2 linked regions of the Callithrix jacchus genome follow. The protein of the gene in region 2 interacts with the protein of the main gene of each other region in a pairwise test. Links are inferred from orthologs where the notes say so. Each region holds a gene or a part of one and is shown on either strand. Other genes may lie near its edges. The genes, in order: FERD3L and MAGEB4.

What was found.
Region 1: the proteins of MAGEB4 (region 2) and FERD3L interact in binary tests that used the Homo sapiens proteins (3 or more experiments, as listed by UniProt). The two-hybrid records come from large-scale screens. The link is inferred for Callithrix jacchus from reciprocal best matches to the Homo sapiens genes MAGEB4 and FERD3L.

What each region holds. Positions count from the first base shown.
Region 1 is NC_133512.1:39,272,488-39,282,262, forward strand, and holds FERD3L (fer3-like protein), read left to right. Parts: upstream 1-3,505; 5' UTR 3,506-4,019; coding exon 4,020-4,508; 3' UTR 4,509-7,099; downstream 7,100-9,775. UniProt on the Homo sapiens protein: Transcription factor that binds to the E-box and functions as inhibitor of transcription. DNA binding requires dimerization with an E protein. Inhibits transcription activation by ASCL1/MASH1 by sequestering E proteins.
Region 2 is NC_133524.1:31,132,015-31,141,366, reverse strand, and holds MAGEB4 (melanoma-associated antigen B4), read right to left. Parts: upstream 5,351-9,352; 5' UTR 5,215-5,350; coding exon 4,174-5,214; 3' UTR 3,621-4,173; downstream 1-3,620.

The sequences.
Region 1 (9,775 bases), on a different chromosome or scaffold from region 2:
TATAAAATGCTTGAAAATTGGCAAAAACTTCAGAAATCAAATAGCAATACCTTGAGGTGTGGTTAATGATTGAATATGGGCACAAGATTGTAGAGGAGGTCATCTGGGATACTTGTAATGTTTTGTTTTCTGTCTTGTGTGCTAGTTACATGAGTGTGCTCACTTTGTGAAATAGTCTCAAGCTATAAACCTAAGGCTTATCTGTTTTTACATTACCTCAAACTTCAAGAAAGCATTCCATTTCTTGATTTGGGCACTGGCTTCATCGATACATTCACTCTGAAAATTCATGAAGCTGCATATATATGATTTGTGAATTTTAAAGTATATACACTGAACTTCAAAAATAAGTTTAACTAAAATATGAAAGGAAAGAAACAAAACAGGTGATTATATATTCTTCTATCTCTAAATCAGCCATGACATACATAATTTGAAATGGAATAGAAAGAAGCCGCTGGTCCCCTCTCCATGTCAGCAGGAGTACTTCTTATGCCTTTCTCCTACAATCATGACAAACATCTACCTTTGTCATATCTTTATCATTTGCCCTACAAGTTCATGTTTCTGGAATAATGAAGGGACAAGAAAAAGAAAAGGAAAGGTAGGGTTTTAAAAATTGGGGGGACTTATTTGTTTTACTCCCTGAATGCTTTATATTTCCACCTTTTTCCCCTTAGCACCCTTAAACCCAGGCTTCAGCTTATTTGAGAATTATGGTGCAAGTTATTCTTGGTCATTGTTTTTTACTTTGATTCTTAACATAATAGTATAAACAAAATGTTTAATGTCTAATGGGAATGGTCAATAGAAATAAACCAGATAATCAAATAAGCAAAATTGATTGTCATTTCATAATCATTTCTTGAAATATTTTGAGCAAAATTTGTGAAGGAGTTATCAAACTTTTTATAAACGCCTCCCTATGGATTACTGAATATCTATAAACTATAGAGCTAGAACCCAGAGGAATCAGGGTTAAACTTAGCTGCGTTTAATCCTCAGTTGAGTCTTTAAAAAAACCTCTCTCTCTTAACTTTCAAATCTAGAAATGAAAATAATGGTTCCTTCCAATGAGATGAACTGTAACATCACTTGGTACTTTATAAATTTACTGCTCTTGCTATAATTAAATTATAAATAAAATAATTATAATTATAGATTATACAACTATAATTATAAATGAAAAGCACTTATTATCATAACTTAGGTTTTAACATTTTTTGCTTTAATTATACTAGCATGATTATAGCCTTGTAAGATAAAACGACTGTGGTATAAACAGAAGTGTTTATCCTGGGATTTTTATGATGAAATAAAAACAAAAACATTTAAAAATATTTGCTGTAGATGTACCTATTAGGACACTTTAAAAATTCTTAATACTTTCATACCAGTATTTCATCCAAGTTCTGGGCACTGCTTCCATTACTTTTGCTACAATTCCTTTTATGATATGATTACTGAAATCTCTATTCACTGCCAGGTGCAGGGCTCAGGCCAGTAATCTCAGCACTTTGAAAGGCCAAGGTGAAAGGATTGGTTGAGGCCAGAGCAAAATAGTTAGACCTTCTCTCTAAAACACAAACCAATTTAGCCTCATGTGGTGGCCAGTGACTGCAGTCCTAGATACTCAGGAGGCTGAGATGGGAGAGTTGCTTGAGCCCAGGAGTTTGAATCACTGCACTCCAGCCTGCATGACTGAGTGAGACTCTGTTGAAAGAAAGAAAGAAGAAAGAAAAAAGAGAGGGGGGAGGAAGGAAGGGAGAGAAAGAGAGAGAAAAGAAAAGAGGGAGAGACATTCCCTTGGCTAAAATCATAAAGGAGTTCAGTCCAAAGAAACTGTCCCTTTAGAGTCTCGTGAAAGCTTCTGACCCCCATTTCATGACATTTTAAATTTAAGTATCAACCATGTTTTCCTTCATTAAGTGCCCCAATGTATTATATTGTGCAACTAAATTCTCACTTGACTGCAGTATTTAATCCACTTGCAAATAGGGTTGTAAAGGAATAAAAAATAAGTCACTGAGAAGCATTTAACATAATTTAAAAATCAACAATAAATTTGCCCAAATATTTAATAACATATTAATTTAAACAAGGGTTAGAAAGCATGTTAGTACTTTTTTGAAACAAAAATCAATTCTCCCATTTACTAGCTTCATAGCCACTGTTGACGAACCTATTAGTTTTTGTTTTTCAGCCTTCCCTTTGAAAGAAGCTTAGTAAAAATCAATGAAGTAATATCCAGGATCTCAGTCTCATTAACATCTTCCGGATCACAAATTTCAATTATTCTCTGCCTGAGTTATCACAATGCAAACTGGAGAATGAAGGGTAAACACAAGCAAATGAGATAAAATCTATTAAAAGATCGAGAGACACCAGACACAAATGGGCTAAAAGAAGAAAAAGAAGAATTCAAAGTTATACGTTTTGGTTACACACCGAGAGGTTAGGAAGAACAAAACGAATTGAGATTACCTGTTATAGAAATAGGCGGTTTCTGGGAGCTGTCCAATGTCCTGAGTGAACCATCACAGCCACAACTTACCCCTTCATAGGGACTGATGTCCTCAGCGGTTCTCTTTTGAACCGGAATGTTTCTACATTCATCTTTTTAGGCTGCTTCTTCTACTCTACCTTAAAAATTATCTTCTAATCTGTCACTTTTACCCAATGGGTCTTTTAAGTAAATCTTTACACAGTACTGTGTAATTAAGTAAATATAATTATTGGCAAACAAGGAAAAAAAAGAACCCGTTTGTTAAAATATTAGGGATACTAGAGATAATATAAAATCAGGAAAATCTTATTTTTCTTATGCCAAATTTAAAATTTATCTCAAAAAATAATGACCTAATGATAGCCAAAAGTCTTCCTTATATATAATGCAATAAATAATTGTTTCTGCTCTTAAATCTTAATGTAGGACAACACAAATCAATGAGGAAAATACGCCAGATGGAAGTGTTAGGTTTTTTCTTTGTTCAGAAACAAATACTCGCTCCGCAACTTAAAAGTCGGAGGACTTCTCAGCAGAGGACTCCTTGGCTTATCAAGGGCAAACCGCATTTCTGAAAGGAGCTTGAAGTGGTTTTGTTTGTGGGGAGAGTTTGCAAAATGTCCTGAGCTTAAATTTCTCATTTTATTGCCATTATAACTTTTCCTCTTGGAATAAAATCCTCTATTTTACATGACTAGGAGGTAAAGTAAGGAAAGGAAAGTCAAGTATCTCAATTGTTAAGCTGATTGCCTCCAAACAGACTTTCGAAGTCAGGGTTTGTAACGTGGCAGGAGAGCTGTTTGCGATGCCCTGGAAAGAAAAAGAAAGCCGGTTCCAACAGCGACTCTAGGGAATGCACTCTCGGCCCCCCTGCCATGCTTACTTAAGCTAATGGAAGGTCTTGCCTTTCAGCAGCCGCTGCACTGGGATACCAGACAAACAGCTACCCTCGATCCCAGGCAGGCAGGGCCCCTCTTCAGGACATCATTAAAAGCGCATGCACTTGCTCCACATCCATTGGCAGATGGTGGCAAGATTCAAGACTCCTACCCTGAAGTCAAGGAGAAGCCATCGCGCTGGAAAACATCCTCGCTTTGAAAATCCAAAACGAAATTAAAGAACTACACGAGATAAGGAGCCTAGAGAACATTAGTTGGCTGCAGGGGTGAGGAGAGACACAAAAAGCACAGCAGGTAAGAGCTGGGGGTTTTTGCCAAGAAGGAACTGTCCCGGGTGGCGCAGAGAAAAGGATCTCAGAACTGGAGTCCTGTCCCTTTGAGTCTTCCATGCGTGCTCAAGCTTGTCATCTTCCATAAGCTTCGAGAGGAGGGATGTTGTCAGAGCATTCCTTATCGCTGCGACTAATCCTGTTATCAGCTTGGTGATAAATATTTAATGTTCCCTGGCCCTTCGGTGATGATGCCCCATCAGATTCAAGGCTGTTAAGAATCCCCACCAGCAGCCTCGCTCCTCCCTGCGGAAAACCGATGAGAGGCAGGGCCAAGCCGAAGCGATGGCGGCCTATCCGGAGAGCTGCGTGGACGCCACGGTGCTGGGCTTCGTTGCAGACCTGTCCCTGGCCTCCCCGAGACGCCCTCTCCTCTGCGACTTCGCACCTGGGGCCTCCTTCAGGGACCCAGCCCTTGCGCTCCGAGAGGGAAGACCCAGGAGGATGGAGCGGTTTGAGGAGGGGGGCCCAGAAGAAGAGGACCAGGGGGACGGGGAAGAGGAGGAGGAAGAGGAGCGCGGGAGAGGCACCTCCCTATTAGGCCGCCCCAAGAGGAAAAGAGTGATCACCTACGCCCAGCGCCAGGCCGCCAACATCCGCGAGAGGAAGCGGATGTTCAACCTCAACGAGGCCTTTGACCAGCTGCGGAGGAAGGTGCCCACGTTTGCTTACGAGAAAAGGCTGTCCCGGATCGAGACCCTCCGCCTGGCCATTGTCTACATCTCCTTCATGACCGAGCTCTTGGAGAGCTGCGAGAAGAAGGAAAGCGGCTGAGCCGGGTGGGGAGAGTGCCCCCTCCTCGTCTGGGCGCGCTCGGGCTGGGGTGTGTCGGGACCGGGCGCGGGGTGCGGCCGGAGGGCAAGGAGGGACGCCCCAAGACAGAACGTCTGGCCTTCTGGAGCTCGGGTTAGGGATTGTAAGATCCCCAAGACCCCCGAGCAGAGTGGCTGCTGTAGAGTTCTTACCTACGCGACTACCCGTCCTAAGTGGAGTCGGTGTCAGGGGAGAGCCGGGAAGTCAGAGCGCTTGAGGATAAGGGGCCGTCCAGGCTGCTTCTGTGGGTTGGGTGGGTGGGAAGCAAACCCTCCTCGGAAATGGCAGACTTTGGAGCGTCTATAGAATCTAATCTCTCCTCTTTACCCTTTTTTTTTTCATAGAAATAATAATGTAGAAATTCTTACTTTTTAAAAAGCTTCAAGAGTCGGTGCCACGCCATCCCCGGCAGGCGCTCCAGCGGGCGCCTGCGTGGAGGATCTGGAGCAGACGCCCCGAGGGGCTCAGGATCATCTCTCTGGTCCTCCGAGGCGTGTCCAGGAACTGAGAGAAGGGAAAATGGAAGGCAGAGCAGTCGAGGGGAACTGCTGACAAAGTGCGACCTCTGCGAAGGGACATCCTTCCTGTCTTCCTTTGCCTCTTCCTCCCCTACCTTTCTCTCTCCCCTGCGCCAGCCCTCTCTTTCTTTCTCTCTCTCTCTTTCCACCTAGTTGATCCCAGAGGGACCATAGCTCCCTGTCCCAGGGCCACAGTGGTGTGGAGTCAGTGTCTTAGCCAGAGTGCCATTCTACGCTTTGCATCTTAAGTGCAGCGTCAGCTTCCGGTTCCAGTGCCTTCAGGCCCCAGCCAGAGTAAGGGACGAGTGCACTTGGGTCACTTCTGGGCCTGCAGCGGGCCTTGGGCGCCCTATGGCTTAGCCGACAGCCGGCGCTACCAACTCTGTGAAGGGGCTTGGATCTTTCTAGGAGCAGTGCCGCCTGAGCGCGCACTTTGACATTTTTAGCACTAGGGAGGAAAGATGTCTTTCACTCTTATGGCTTCTAGAGACTACCAGGAGAGACAAAAAGTCTAAAGAGGAGACGCGTTCAGACGCCTTGCAAAACGGCTGCCACGCAGAAGTTGAAGCGGGTCCATGCTGAGAGGCTGCCTCCAGTTTGGACCCCACTCTATTCCAGGAATCTCCCTTCTAGGTGATGTGCCAGAACTGGGGTCTTTTAGAAAGGAGGGAGTACCTGAGGAGAGGAACCTGATTGAATAATTCCCCCCAAACGTAAATTTAGTAATCCTAAAGGATAATCCCCAGTGATTATTCCAACACTTTATTTTGCCCCTCTTTATGCACAGGAATAGGCAGGCGCCTGTGAGAACACCTAATTCACTTAATCATGCTTTCAGAAATAGAATTCATTTCATTAATAGGTAATATATACTTCTAGAAAGTCTGGAAAACAAAAGTTCAAAAAAGAAAAAAACCGAATCACCCCACATTACCATATTGTTAGCATTTTCATCTATTTCTTTCCAGTCTTTTTCCCCCCTATGCAGTTATAAATTCAATATATTTAACTAATTCAACATACTTTGGGATACTGATATTTTTTCACTTGACATTCTAGAAGGTGCAATTGTTTTCCCTTAACTTGAAATATTATTCAAATGTGGTTTTGATTACCATATCTTATTGTCATATCCATGTATCACAACATCAGCCCTTTACAGATAGCTATTTCCTTTTTTAAAAAAATAAATGATGCTGCTAAGAGCATTCTTGTAAATGTCTTCTCTGTCTATTACTATTTCCTAATATTTGATGCCTAGAAGTGAATTTTCTGGATTTAAGTTTGTGGATACAAATGGCCAGATTCCCTTTTTGGTGGGTTCTGCCAGTTCACTCTCCCATCCTCTAGCATTGCAGGAATTTGCCTGTTTCCAAGCCCCATCATTAGTACTTTGAACATTTAAAACTTTTGTTAGTTTTCCTTTCCATAGGACCTGGGTTGGTTCTGAAATGAGCCACTGCTCCCAAAATGTTTTTTTTTACTTTTGCTGTGTCTTTCCACGAATAATTTTTCCAATTCTACCATAAGAAAGAACATTAGGATAAACAGGTAAAATAAAAAAATATAAGCAGCTAACACCAAACAACAACAAAACCCACAGAGTGTTGTTTTTCCTTTTCTTTTTTTTTTTTTTTGGAAAGAAAGAAAAAAAAAGGAGGGAGAGGAAGAAAGAGGAAGAAAAAGAGGGAGGGGGAACGGGAATGTAGCTTTATTCTAAAAATGGGTATTAATAATGGCCAATCAATATTTTGTGTATTTAAGGTGGAGAATGTATATTTTGTGTTTAAATACACTCCATTTTAAATAATGGAGAGCTCTATAAATATTTATTGAGTTTACTTGTTCTGGATCTGAGTTCAAGTCCTGGATATCCTTATTAATTTTCTGTCTCGTTGAGTCTAGATCTCTTTATGGATCTTATGTATCTAGGTGTTAGGATCGTTAGCTCTTATTGTTGCATTGATCCTTTTACCACTATATCTTTGTTGCTTTGAAATCTATTTTATCAGATGCGAGAATTGCACCTCCTGCTTTTTATTTATTTATTTATTTTTGCTCTCCATTTGGTTGGTAAATCTTTCTCCATCCCTTTGTTTTGAGTCTTCATGTATCTTTGGATGTGAAATGGGTTTGGATGTAGCATACCATTAGGTTTTGGCTGTATCTTTTGATTGGGGGATTTAGTCGATTTAAATTTAGTGTTACTGCTACTTGATGTTAACTGGCTATTTTATCCATTCGTTGATGTAAATTCTTCTTTATGTTGATGCTCTTTACTTTTTGGTATATTTTTGGAAAGGCTAATACTGGTTGTTTCTTTCTATGTGTAATGCTTCTTTAAGAAGCTCTTGTAAAGCAGGCCTGGTGGTAATAAAATTTCTGAGTACTTGCTTGTTCATAAAAGATTTTATTTTTCCTTCAATTGTGAAGCTTAGTTTGGTGGGATATGAAATTCTGGGCTGAAAGTTCTGTTCTTTAAGGATGTTGAATATCGGCCTCTACTCTCTTCTGGCTTGTAGGGTTTCTGCTGAGAAATCTGCTGTAAGTCTAATAGGCTTCCCTTTGTGGGTAACCTGACCTTTCTCTCTGGCTGCCCTTAGTATTTTCTCCTTTGTTTCAGCCCTGGTATATCTAATGATTATGTGCCTGGGGGTTGCTCTTCTTGAGGAATATCTTTGTGGTGTTCTCTGTATTACCTGGGTTGAATATTGTCCTGCTTTGCTAGATTGGGAAAGTTTTCCTGAATAATATCCTGAAGAGTATTTTCCAGCTTGGATTCATTCTCTTTGTTGTATTCAGGTACACCTATCAAATGTAAATTATCCTTTTTTCTCTATTCTTGTCTTCTCATTTTATTTCATTAAGTAGGTCTTCAACCTCTGATATCCTTTCTTCTGCTTGATCAATTTGTCTATTCAAACTTGTGCATATTTTGCTAAGTTTTTGTGTTGTGTTTTTCAACTCCATTAGTTCATTTATATTCCTCTCTATATTGTCTATTCTTGTTAGCATTTCGTCAAGCCTTTTTTCAAAGTTCTTAGTTTCTTTACATTGGGTTAGAACAAGTTCTTTTAACTCCCAGAAGTTTCTTATCATCCACCTTCTGAAGCCTACTTCTGTTAATGTTTTTTCTTATTCTTCTAACAGTGCAAGTTCTCCTAGAAATTAAACATCATTCTTAAAAAAAAATCATCTGAAAGTGTTAAATAAGTAAAAGGAAAGAAAAGTAGTTCCAATCTAGGAATTCTTAATATGTTTTTTAAAGAACAAGTTTTGAAAACCAGAAATAAAGCAAAACTGTGTAGCCAGGGACCATCAACATTGCTGGATCCTGAGGAGTAAATACAGCCACACATTGTCCTTAGTCTTCCCCCTCATATTCTAATATATTTTATTCCTAGTAGGCAAATAATATTCCTCTAGTGAATACCTCTTCAACATAGTAAATAATATCTTAAAAACTTCTAAATGAAAGTTATTTTCTTGTTATCACTAGAGGAATTATATCCATCCTTCTATAAAAAAATTTTTAACAGTTTATAAATGCTTTGTATTTGTAAGTTTTACATGTTTAGGAACTGTCTCAAATGCAGTCTTTTAAGATATTTTCATAATAATTTTAGTCAGAGTAATTTGAAGCCAGGTAAGGATCAGAGACACATATAAAGGGATTGACTTATTCCCTTCATCAAATATCAATAGAGATAAGACAAAATGATCCACATCCTGAACTTAAATAGAGAATACCTCCATATTCTGACCCTTGACTTTTCTACACATTATTTTAACTTTAGTTTTCCTCATGTTAGATCCATAAAATCAGTGTACCTGTAATACAAGAGTTGTGTGTGTGTGTGTGTGTGTGTGTGTGTGTGTGTGTGTGTGTTTTAGATGGCGTCTCACTCTGTTGCCAGGCTGGGGTACAGTGGTGCGATCTTGGCTCACTGCCACCTCCAACTCCCTGATTCAAGTGATTCTCCTGCCTCAGCCTCCCAAGTAGCTGGGATTACAGGCACATGTCACCATGCCCAGCTAATTTTTAATACAAGGGTTTTTGTATGTAACACCCATTATATTAAAATAGTTTTACTGTTTATTATCTCCTAAACCAACATGGATAGAAATATGAGTAGATATTGGCTTTTTAATAACTTCAATCAGTTTTTTTAAAGACCTAATGGTGTCCATTACTTCTAGAAAATTAAAGTAATTTGTTTTTGAAATCTGAAAGTCATTTGAACATGTAGAACATTTAGAATCTGAACACCATCTGAGATGTTGCTTGGAGGCGATCTATTTATATACTCTCTACTGCCTTTTGGTTTCAAACCAAGTTCCCCATAGCTATCAGATTACTATTGGTATTCAGACAAGTAAGTCATAAAAAGATCCAAATGAAATCATATTTGAAGGACATAATTACGCTTTCTGAGGAATCTAAAAATAAACAGAAACCCTTACCAACAACAGGGAGTCATTTAAGCTGATCATCTTTTACAGTTAGTTGCCCAATGTGAAAGCAGATTTTGGCAAAATTAAGTGCTGGAAACTGAACCAAATATTCTGTTAGTATACATAGTTCTTACATGCAGACTTATACTACAATTAAGACCCTTGGATTCGTGTTTATTATCAGATTTGTCAGCCTCTCCATTATGAAACAGTCTTTGGAAAGTGATAACATGGCTATAAAAATTGTGAGACGAA
Region 2 (9,352 bases):
TACCGACGCTGCGCCCCTTAATTGGCGACTCGCAACTCGCCTCCTCGCCTCCTCACCTTCAAAGCGAAAGTGGTAAGTCACATCCGCCTGGGGTCAGCCCCCTCCCCATCACATACGTCACATCCGCCCGGGGCCCCGCCCTCCCCCACCGCCTGCCCCACCCTTCAAAGCGGAAGTGAGGATGAGCAACATCCGCTTGGCTCCTTGCCCTCATAATGGAAGTGAGGACGAACCACGTGTGCTGGAGTCCTCGCCTTCAAAGCAGAAGTCAGGATGAGCCACATTCGGCAGCCTGGGGCCTTTGAAGGGTGAAGGCAGGAGCATGATGCTATGGGAGGTCACTGTTCTTGTGTTGCTAATCTCTACGTACCCCCTAGAAGTCCTTACCTTAGTATCTAGCAGCCTGGGATGACTCCGCCTGCTGACCCAAATCTGCCAGCCTCCATACAATACCCCAACCTCCCTCAAACCCACGGTGGAAATCTGAGCATGCGATACAGGCCACCCCTGCCTGGGCCTCACAGGCCTGACAGCAGTGGCAGGACTCTGTGAACGTCCCTCTTTTGGGGAGAGGTCTTCCTCACTAGGACTCCCGCTCCTGCTCCGGCTCCGGTTTCCTCTCCAGGCAGAATTAGAGCGACTCCCCCTTCAGGGCCAGATGCTCTCCTCCCTGAGACCTTCCAGGCGGAAATGAGAGGCACCTTAGGCAGATAGCTCTGTCTGGTGCTTCAAAACGGGATGAACTCTGTGTGGTCTTGTCTGCTGGTGGAGTCCCCGCATAACACGTAAGAGTCCTACAGTGATTCTTGTTAGAGTCTCAACCTCTTCCCTCTGTGAAACTGACGCTGCCCCAAGTAGACGGAACCAGTCACCTCCCTGAGACTTTCCGGGCAGAAATCAACCTGCCATCCCCGCCTGGGGCTTTTTGTGAGGCCTCTTCTTAACCCTTAGTCCACATTCAGCCTCTCACCTTGACAAGTGAGCAAACCTATAACTCCACCCTTTATTTACCTGAACCTGCTCCTCTCACATAAAGGTCCTGTTTTCCTGAGAATTTGGAGTTGGAATTCTGGATGATCCTCATATGATCATAGTTCTTTTGCAACCTGCAAGAACAGATAGTAAGGACAGGCCTCAATAGAGCTCCACAGTTTTGCTCCTCGCCTTTACATGTATCAGAACCTGGGACTCCTCTGTTTACTGAACTGAGGTCACCCTCCTGAAGGGTCTAGATGAAACCTTACATTTTGAAATGGTTTTCACCCTACTATTCATTCATGAGGGTTCTCATGTTGGCTCCTGTCTCTTGATCAATGTCTTCCAGGGAAATGTCACATCTCTGCAAAAATTTGATCAATTTCCTCTTTGCAGAGCTTGCAGAGAAGAGGTCCCTGTCCCAGAAGTAATGTGACATTGGGAAACTGAAATGGAAGGTGGAGAGCCTAGGACAGATACTGTGCTCTCAGGGGAAAAAACATGCTGATCTGTTCTTTCACTTCACCAACCAAAGGGTATTTCTAAAAGACTTACTTTCTATAGAAAAGGGTGAAGCCAGATGATTTTGCAATCTTTCGATCTTTTGAAGCTATCTGATTTTGCTTCTGTTGATGATCATATTGTCACCGAGTATTATTTCTTTCTGTCTTTAACTTACATGTGTCAATTATTTTGGTATTATCCTTGCTCTGGTTTTGTATTCCAATCAGTGTTTGGGGCATAGACCTCTTCTTTGTTACCTGAGATACACTTTGGGTTAGCAGAAGAAAATGAATTAAGCAACTTGTGGTAAGCTTCAGTTTGGGAGGAGTGGAACAGTGTGGACTCTAGAGGAATTCAGATCAGCAGTCTAGTTTCAGCCCTATCACTTACTAGCTGTATGAACTTGGGCACATTACCAAACTCTATGAGCCTTAGGCTCTGCATCTGTGAAATGGGCTTGATAAGCCTTGTGATGTAGGACTGGTGGAATGTGGTTAACATGTGCAAAGCCCTGGAGTGCATTGAGACTTTAAACAATGCTTATTACTATGATTATTTCAACTACAGAAGAAATCATCTGTAGTTGATTCAGAAGAAATCTGCTGATTTTTTTTAAGCCCAAGTGATAACAAAGAATATACAACATTCTAAGACATGAAACTACAAATCAGCCCAAAATGCAGCTTACAAAGAAACTCTAAGTATCTTTTCCATACTGAATCATAGTTTGAGTGTGGAGTTGTCTTTCTCAGCTGAAAGCAACTGAAACCTTCTAGGGTTTGCTTCAAAGACCAACTCTAGCCTTTCATACAAACCACCCTTATATTCATTTATTTTACCATCACCAAAAATCTAGATGTCCCTTAAAACTTCCAAAACACATGAAAGAAAAGAAAAATGAATGCCCTTTTAATGGAATGGATTCTGGCTCCCCAGCTGATGGCAGAGTATTAGCCCAGTGGCATATGAGTTTCCAGTCTTAAAGGAGTAACACCTTTATTTCTCAGAAACACCCCGGGGACTATGTGCATAAAACACCTAATCTGTGTACTGGATTCACTTGCGCTGGGACAAGAGCACAGGCCATTTTCAATCCCTACCCCAGGCAAAGATTTCCTCTGTTTTTTTCCACAATTCCAAAGTAACTTTTAAGGGCAATTTTTCATTCCAGTCTCTAACTCTCAACTCTGAGATCCATCATCTGAGTGTGTGACCCCCCTGCTCGGTGCGCCCCATCTAGTCACTATGCAGCAACATAAAATTACCTCCTACTGCAGTATGTTCAGTTTCCCAGAGTCTCAATTACCTTGCTTAGGACATTTACACTAGATTCTTCCCCTAGAAACACCCCCACCTTCTTATATCCTCTTTTCAACTGTCTTTAGGTCTTAGGGACTATCTCATTACCTTCATTATGTGATAGCTGCTGTTGAATTCTAAAATTCTATGGACAGGGTTTTATTTTTTTTTAATTTTTATTTTTTTGCTTATCCAGTGCTAGCTAGGAGCCCTCTGAAGAGTAGCTGCTCAATTAATATTAGGACAATTAAAGTGCAAGTGAGCCGGAAGTCAAATGTATTGCTATTTAATTTCTCCCACATTCCTGAGAAAGCTAACCCAATCCAGATACATATACTTCAGTTTTACAAAGAAAGACTAAAAGGAATAAAACAAAGCAAGAATTGACCACATTTTACTTTTTTTTCTCTATTTCATGATCCCACCAACTTTATTGCTAGGTAATTTCCTTTTCACAAATTCTGTATTCTAATGTCATATTGTCTTGTTCTAGATCACAGAAAAAGATTTAAAGATTTTAAATTGTTTTACATAATGCAAAAGTTCTTGTTCTTCAACCTGACATATTTTAATAAATGAGTTTTTCATGCCATTCATAAACTTAGATTCTGAAACTAAATAATTCTACAATTAAAAGAAAGAACACTGAAAAACAGGAAAATGAAAAGATAAATCATTTTACATACAAATATATTATATATGATGTTCCCACCAACTCCTCTTTGGCCCTCTATTAATTAGAAGGTTAATATTTTCTTTAATTAAAAGTAAAGAATATACCTCAGACTTCACAAGGAGTGGATGACACTGTTGGACATCACACTGGAACATGCCAGGAGCAGTTGCAACACTGTCTCCCTCATCTCTCAAAGTCTTCTCTTAATAGAGGGAAGACAATGGGGACACTGTCATTGACCTTGGCCGAAGCCTCCACATTCTTAAATAATCTAAGCAAACCAGGTATGTAACTTTCAAATTTATGAACAACAAAAGACTAAAAGTAGTAAGATAAATCAAAAATAAAGCAACTTTTGCTTTTCTTCTCTTTCTGTCTTCAGATTCTTCTATTTTACTGTGGCGTTATTTTAAATTTCTAAAAATAACCTTACTCCAACGCCATGTTATTTTGCTCTGTATCACAAAAACGATTTTCAGATTTTCTATTTGTATTTCAAAAACCAAACTCTTATTACTAAACCAACCTGATAAACAGAAATAAGTGTGTGATGCATGCCATTTCTAAGCTTATATTCTGAATTTAAATAACCTTTCTATTTTAAGAAACATCACAGGAAAATTCAACAAAGAGATATATCACCGAGTTATTCATGCAGCACAGGAACAGCAGAAGGCAGCAGGTCTTTCAACTACAAATTGAACAATTTGCCTTAGATCTCACATGGGGTGGGAAGAGCTGCTGGATGTGTCCCTTGAATGTGCACTAGTCATGGCAGTAGTGCCACGCCTGGCTGCAACTCTGGGCCGGGCTTTGGCTTTCTCTTCTTCATCTCTCAAAGCCTCTTCATAAAGGAGTGGGAAGTTACTGGGGATGGTATCATTCACCTTGGCCAAAAACTCTAGGACTTTCATCTTGCTGGTTTCAGCATAGGCTCTTGGACCCCACAGGAATTGATAGCGTGGGGGATCACTGTTGGGCACCTGCTTGTACTCCAGATATTCTTCCTGCACCAGATCTTGGGAGATAAGCTTTCGGGCATCCCCAAAGATGATATGCCTCTTACCATCATAGATCCCCAAAACATTCAGGAATTCCCAGATTTCCTCTTCACTGGCACAGTTGCCACTTAAGAAGATCACACTCAGTAGAGGCATCAGAAGCCCATTCCTTGGATATTTCCAGGAACTGCTCTCGTTTCCATCGTTGGTGGGATTCAGCAAGCTGACAATGGTGTAGGAGTGACTGGTCGGGTTGACTTCCTTCAAGGAAAGGCCAAAGACCAGCTCCATGCGCTGAGAGGCTCTGCTGAAGATCTCAGGGAAGTGCTCCTTGTACTTTTTGCTGATGATCTTCAGCATTTCTGCCTTTGTAGTGGGCTCTTTCATTTTATACTTGTACAGCAGGAACTGCACCAACATCTTCGTCTTCCTGGTTATAGGATCTTTGATTGAGCTCTCAGTGGATGTTGAGGCCTGGAAGGAACTTGCCTTTTCCTCACCTTGGCTCTTGTCACTTTCATCAGATCCAGTGCATGACATAGCTGCAGCACCAGTGGTGGGTAGTGCTCTCTGAGGCCTCTGCAGAATGCCAGCAGCAGGGGAGCTGGAGGGAATATCCCCCAAAACAGATGAGGAAGAGGAATGAGACTCTTCTTTCTCTGCTGCAGTGGCCTGAGCAACCTTGGTATCCTGGGTCTGACCACGGGTCCGCTGGCGTTTCTCACGGGCACGGAGCTTACTCTTCTGACCTCGAGGCATGATAGCTGTGATTAGGCACAACAGGTAGGAGAGTAGCCAGAAGGGCAGGTGATATGGTGCCTGGAGAAGAGAGATTGAGATCCTGAGAACACCTTTAGTAGGCAGATACTACCTTGGCTTTTCAGAAACCGTCTCTGCAGGATTCCTTGAGAACACTGCTCTAAGTATTGACTGGGCTATTGTTCTTCGTCATTCTGTCCCCTGAGAACTCAGCTGAGGAAGTTACAATGTGCCTTAGGCTGCAGCTTGCCAACCCTGCTGGGGGCTGACTGGGTTCTCTCTGTGTTCTGGCTTGGAAAGGATCCACTCTGATTACTTTTAGAATTATCCTGTCAGCTCTTGGCAGGGCCTCAGCCTCCTTCTATTGGTGTTGTGAAGTAGAATCTTTAACTTTCTATGGGACCCAGATGAGGGAAATGTAGGGGCACCTCAACCCACCACCCCTGCTTCGAAGCATTTAGTGCTCTCTGTCCTGGGATCCTCAGGTCCCAAGTTTGCACTCAGTTTCCTCATCTGGACTCCATGCAGGGTTGTGGACTGTCTCTTCTGATGACTAATAACTGCGACTTCAGACCAAGAATTTCACCTTTTCTAGTTCTGACATAAAATGTGATGGGCATCTATGAAAAAAAAATTGATAATCTGGGCTTCACTAAATTATAACTTCTGCTCTGGTAAAGATACCACAAAGAATAAGACAACTCCCAGATTGGGAAAAATTTATTTTCAAAAGACATATCTGATAAAAGATTGTTAACCAAAACATACAAAAAATTCTTAAAACTGAACAATAAGAATGGACCAACCCTATTAAAAATGGGCAAAAGATATAAATGAGCATCTCAACAATAATATATACAGAAAGTAAATACGTACATGAAGTGATGCACAACATCACATGTCATTAGGGACTTGCAAATTAAAGTAATGTGAAACCACTCCATACCTATAAGAATGGTCAAAATCAAAAACTCTGATAACCCCAACTACCGACGAGGATGTGGAGCAATAGGAGCACACTGTCATTGCTGGTGGACATGCGAAATGGTACAGCCACTTTGGAAGACAGTTTATAAATTTCTTACAAAACTATGTGTAGTCTTATCATATGATCTAGTAACTGCACTTCTTGTTATTTAGCCAAATGAGTTGAAAAGAATGTTCACAAAATAACCTGCACACAAACATTTATAGTAGCTTTATTTATAATTGCCTAAACTGGAAAGCAGCCAAGATGTCCTTCAGAAGGAGAGTGGGTAAATTAAGAGTATAAAATATTATTCAGTATTAAAAGGGAAAGAACTATCAAGCCACAAAGAGACATGGAGGAAACCTAACTACATATTACAAAGTGAAAGAAGCCAATGTGAAAAGGCAACACAATGCATAATTCCATCTATAGACATTCTGGAAAAGGCAAAAGTGTAGAAACAGTACAAAGTTGAGTGGTTTCCAAGGGTTGGGAAGAGTGAGAGATAAATACATGAGGCACAGAGAACTTTTAAGGCAGTAAAGCAATTCTGTCTTAAATTGATAAGGTGATAATGATGTGTCCCTGTATGCTCAATTGTAACAAGTGTATTACCCTGGGTTGGGAGGTTGATATGAGGGAGGCTGTGCCTGGGAGGACAGGATGCCTGTGGAACTCTCTGTGCTTTCTGCTCAGTTTTGCTGTGAACATTAAACTATTCTGAAAAAAGAAGGTCAAGTATTTAAAAAAAAGTGATGGTGAAGCCTCAGCCTCACATGTTGCCCTGGCAATTTAAGATTTATGCAGGGGGCTAGAGTCTGTTGTCCTCTCTATTTAGAGGTGAGCAGCCCCCTCAGCTCTCACTTGTTTTCCTTTATTTGGCTCCTGGAAGATCCTGAGGCTCCCCTCCTTTTTGACCTCAAGACCTCTCTGTTTAAAAGGCCTGTACCTCCCTGAGATCTGATAGGAGGAGGAGAGGGTGGCCTTATCTGGCCATAACTGACTATGGTCTCCCAAGAGTGGCGGCTGTGGTAGCCAGGTTGAGGTCTTATGGTGGATCGTCCTACTCAGGTCCTAACTCAGGATCCTAAATCTGACTCACAGGAAGGCTTAATATTCCTCCCCCTGCTGAGCTGGGACTGCCCACCTCAGAACAAGACCTTCACTTCTCTGTTACTACTGATGATATGAGGGTGCCTCTGTCTGACATTCATGCCTGAATCTCTCAGAGATGACAATAGGGAGGATTCTGTGGGGTCTACACTGATAGGGGTTTGGTGGTTCCTGCACCCTTCAGGGTACTCACTTTACTCCTGGCACACCTTAGGAATCCTATCTCTATGGACCTGAGTCAGCTAGCCTGAGATAATGGTCTTTAACTTCTTAAGACCTCCGGAGTAGAAATTAGGTTCAGCTACATCCTGTCAAGACTATTGGGGTGAATGCTTCCCTCATTCTTTATTCAGGGTCCTCAACTTGGTACGTGTCAGAGAATGGGACTCCTCCCTCTACTGACCTGAGGTCCAAGAACTCACAAGTCCCTATGAACTTTGAAGAATAAGTGAGGAGATGCTCAGGCTAAGAACTGTGTCTGGCATGTTGCTCTGCTCTGTCCTCCTATATGAGGGTCTTTTTCTTGGTTCTTGTCCCTTAATTAATGACTTCCTGGGAAATACCACATCCCTTAAAAGTCTTGACCAGTTTCCCTACAACAAATCTTGCAGACAATGCATCCCTGTCCCAGGAGTGATGTAAGATGGGGAAGCTGTAACACAAACAGAAGCCCCAGGATAGAAGTCATACTGTCAGAGAAACACATTGATCTATTTCTTCTCTTTACCAGTCTCTTATGTATTTCTCTTGGAAAGTATTTAACTTCCTTAAAAAATGGGGGGACTGACCAGAATGACAGAATGTGAGCCCATGATCCTTTGAGTTTATATGTATTTGATTATGCAATCATATTGTCATCAAATATTGTCTTTCTCTCCTTTATTCACACGTCTCAGTCATTTTGGTGATTTTGTTGCTTTGGTTCTGTATTCCAGTCCAGCAAATTGGGCACAGAATCTTATAACTTGATGTACATTTGGGAGCAGTGAGAAGAAAAGTGAGTAAGGGGACACAGTCAGTCTCAGGTTGTGAGGCATGAAGCAGAGTGTGCTTTACACTCATTCAGACTAGGGGTCTTGCCCCAGTCCTGTCACTTACCAGCCATGAAAAAATTAGGCACATTAACAGACTGTGGGCTTCAGACATTTTTTCTGTGAAGTGGGTTTGATAAACTCTGTTTTGTCGGACTGGTAAAATGTATACAATGTATATAAAGTATTTGAGATGCATTGAGACATAAAATAGTGCCAGTTCTTATTATGATTCATTTGTCCCCTGACATTGCCATCCACTCCACTGGGTCTTATTTTTCAGTGCAGGAGATGTCGGAGATTATACCATATTCTAGGACAAAGAAAGCCCTATCAGACAAAGTGCTACTTAGAAAGGAAAACTAATTAATATTTCCTTATTACTTGATAGATGACTCAATATTAGTATGAGGTAGACTTCCTGAGTAGGTGCAACACAGATTCTAAAATGTGTTTCAAGGACCAAAAACTTCCGTCTCTTTCAACTATCCTTCCATCTAAACCACTTTTATTTTCATTCATTTAACCACCTCTCAAAAACTAGACCTTGCTAGAGTATGTCGGATTACACACGAGGTAACCTAATTGAATGTGCTTTTCATGGAACAGGCTCTGGATCCTGCAGCCCAGGGCAAAGAGTGCCAGCGCAGTGGCTTCTGGGCCTCCCATCTCCCTTGAGGATATTACCCTTATTTATCAGAAAGTGTCTGGAGATGATGTGCACAAAACACCTAGTGTGTGCTGTGTTTATTTGTATTGGAACAAGAGCACAGGACACATTCCTGCTCCAGATTCCCCTGGTTTGGGATCCATGATCCCTAAGTAACTGTTAAGAACTGTTTCCCATTCCAAACTTCATCTTGCACCTCTGAGAGGCAACATCTGAGAACCTGGCCTCTGCTCACCATTCCCACAGTCTCATCCAGCCCACCATGCAGCCTCACTTCACTCCCATTGAGGGACCCGCACTTTCCTTAGGCCCCACACAGTCTTGATTAGATAATTTATACTTGACTGTTCTCAC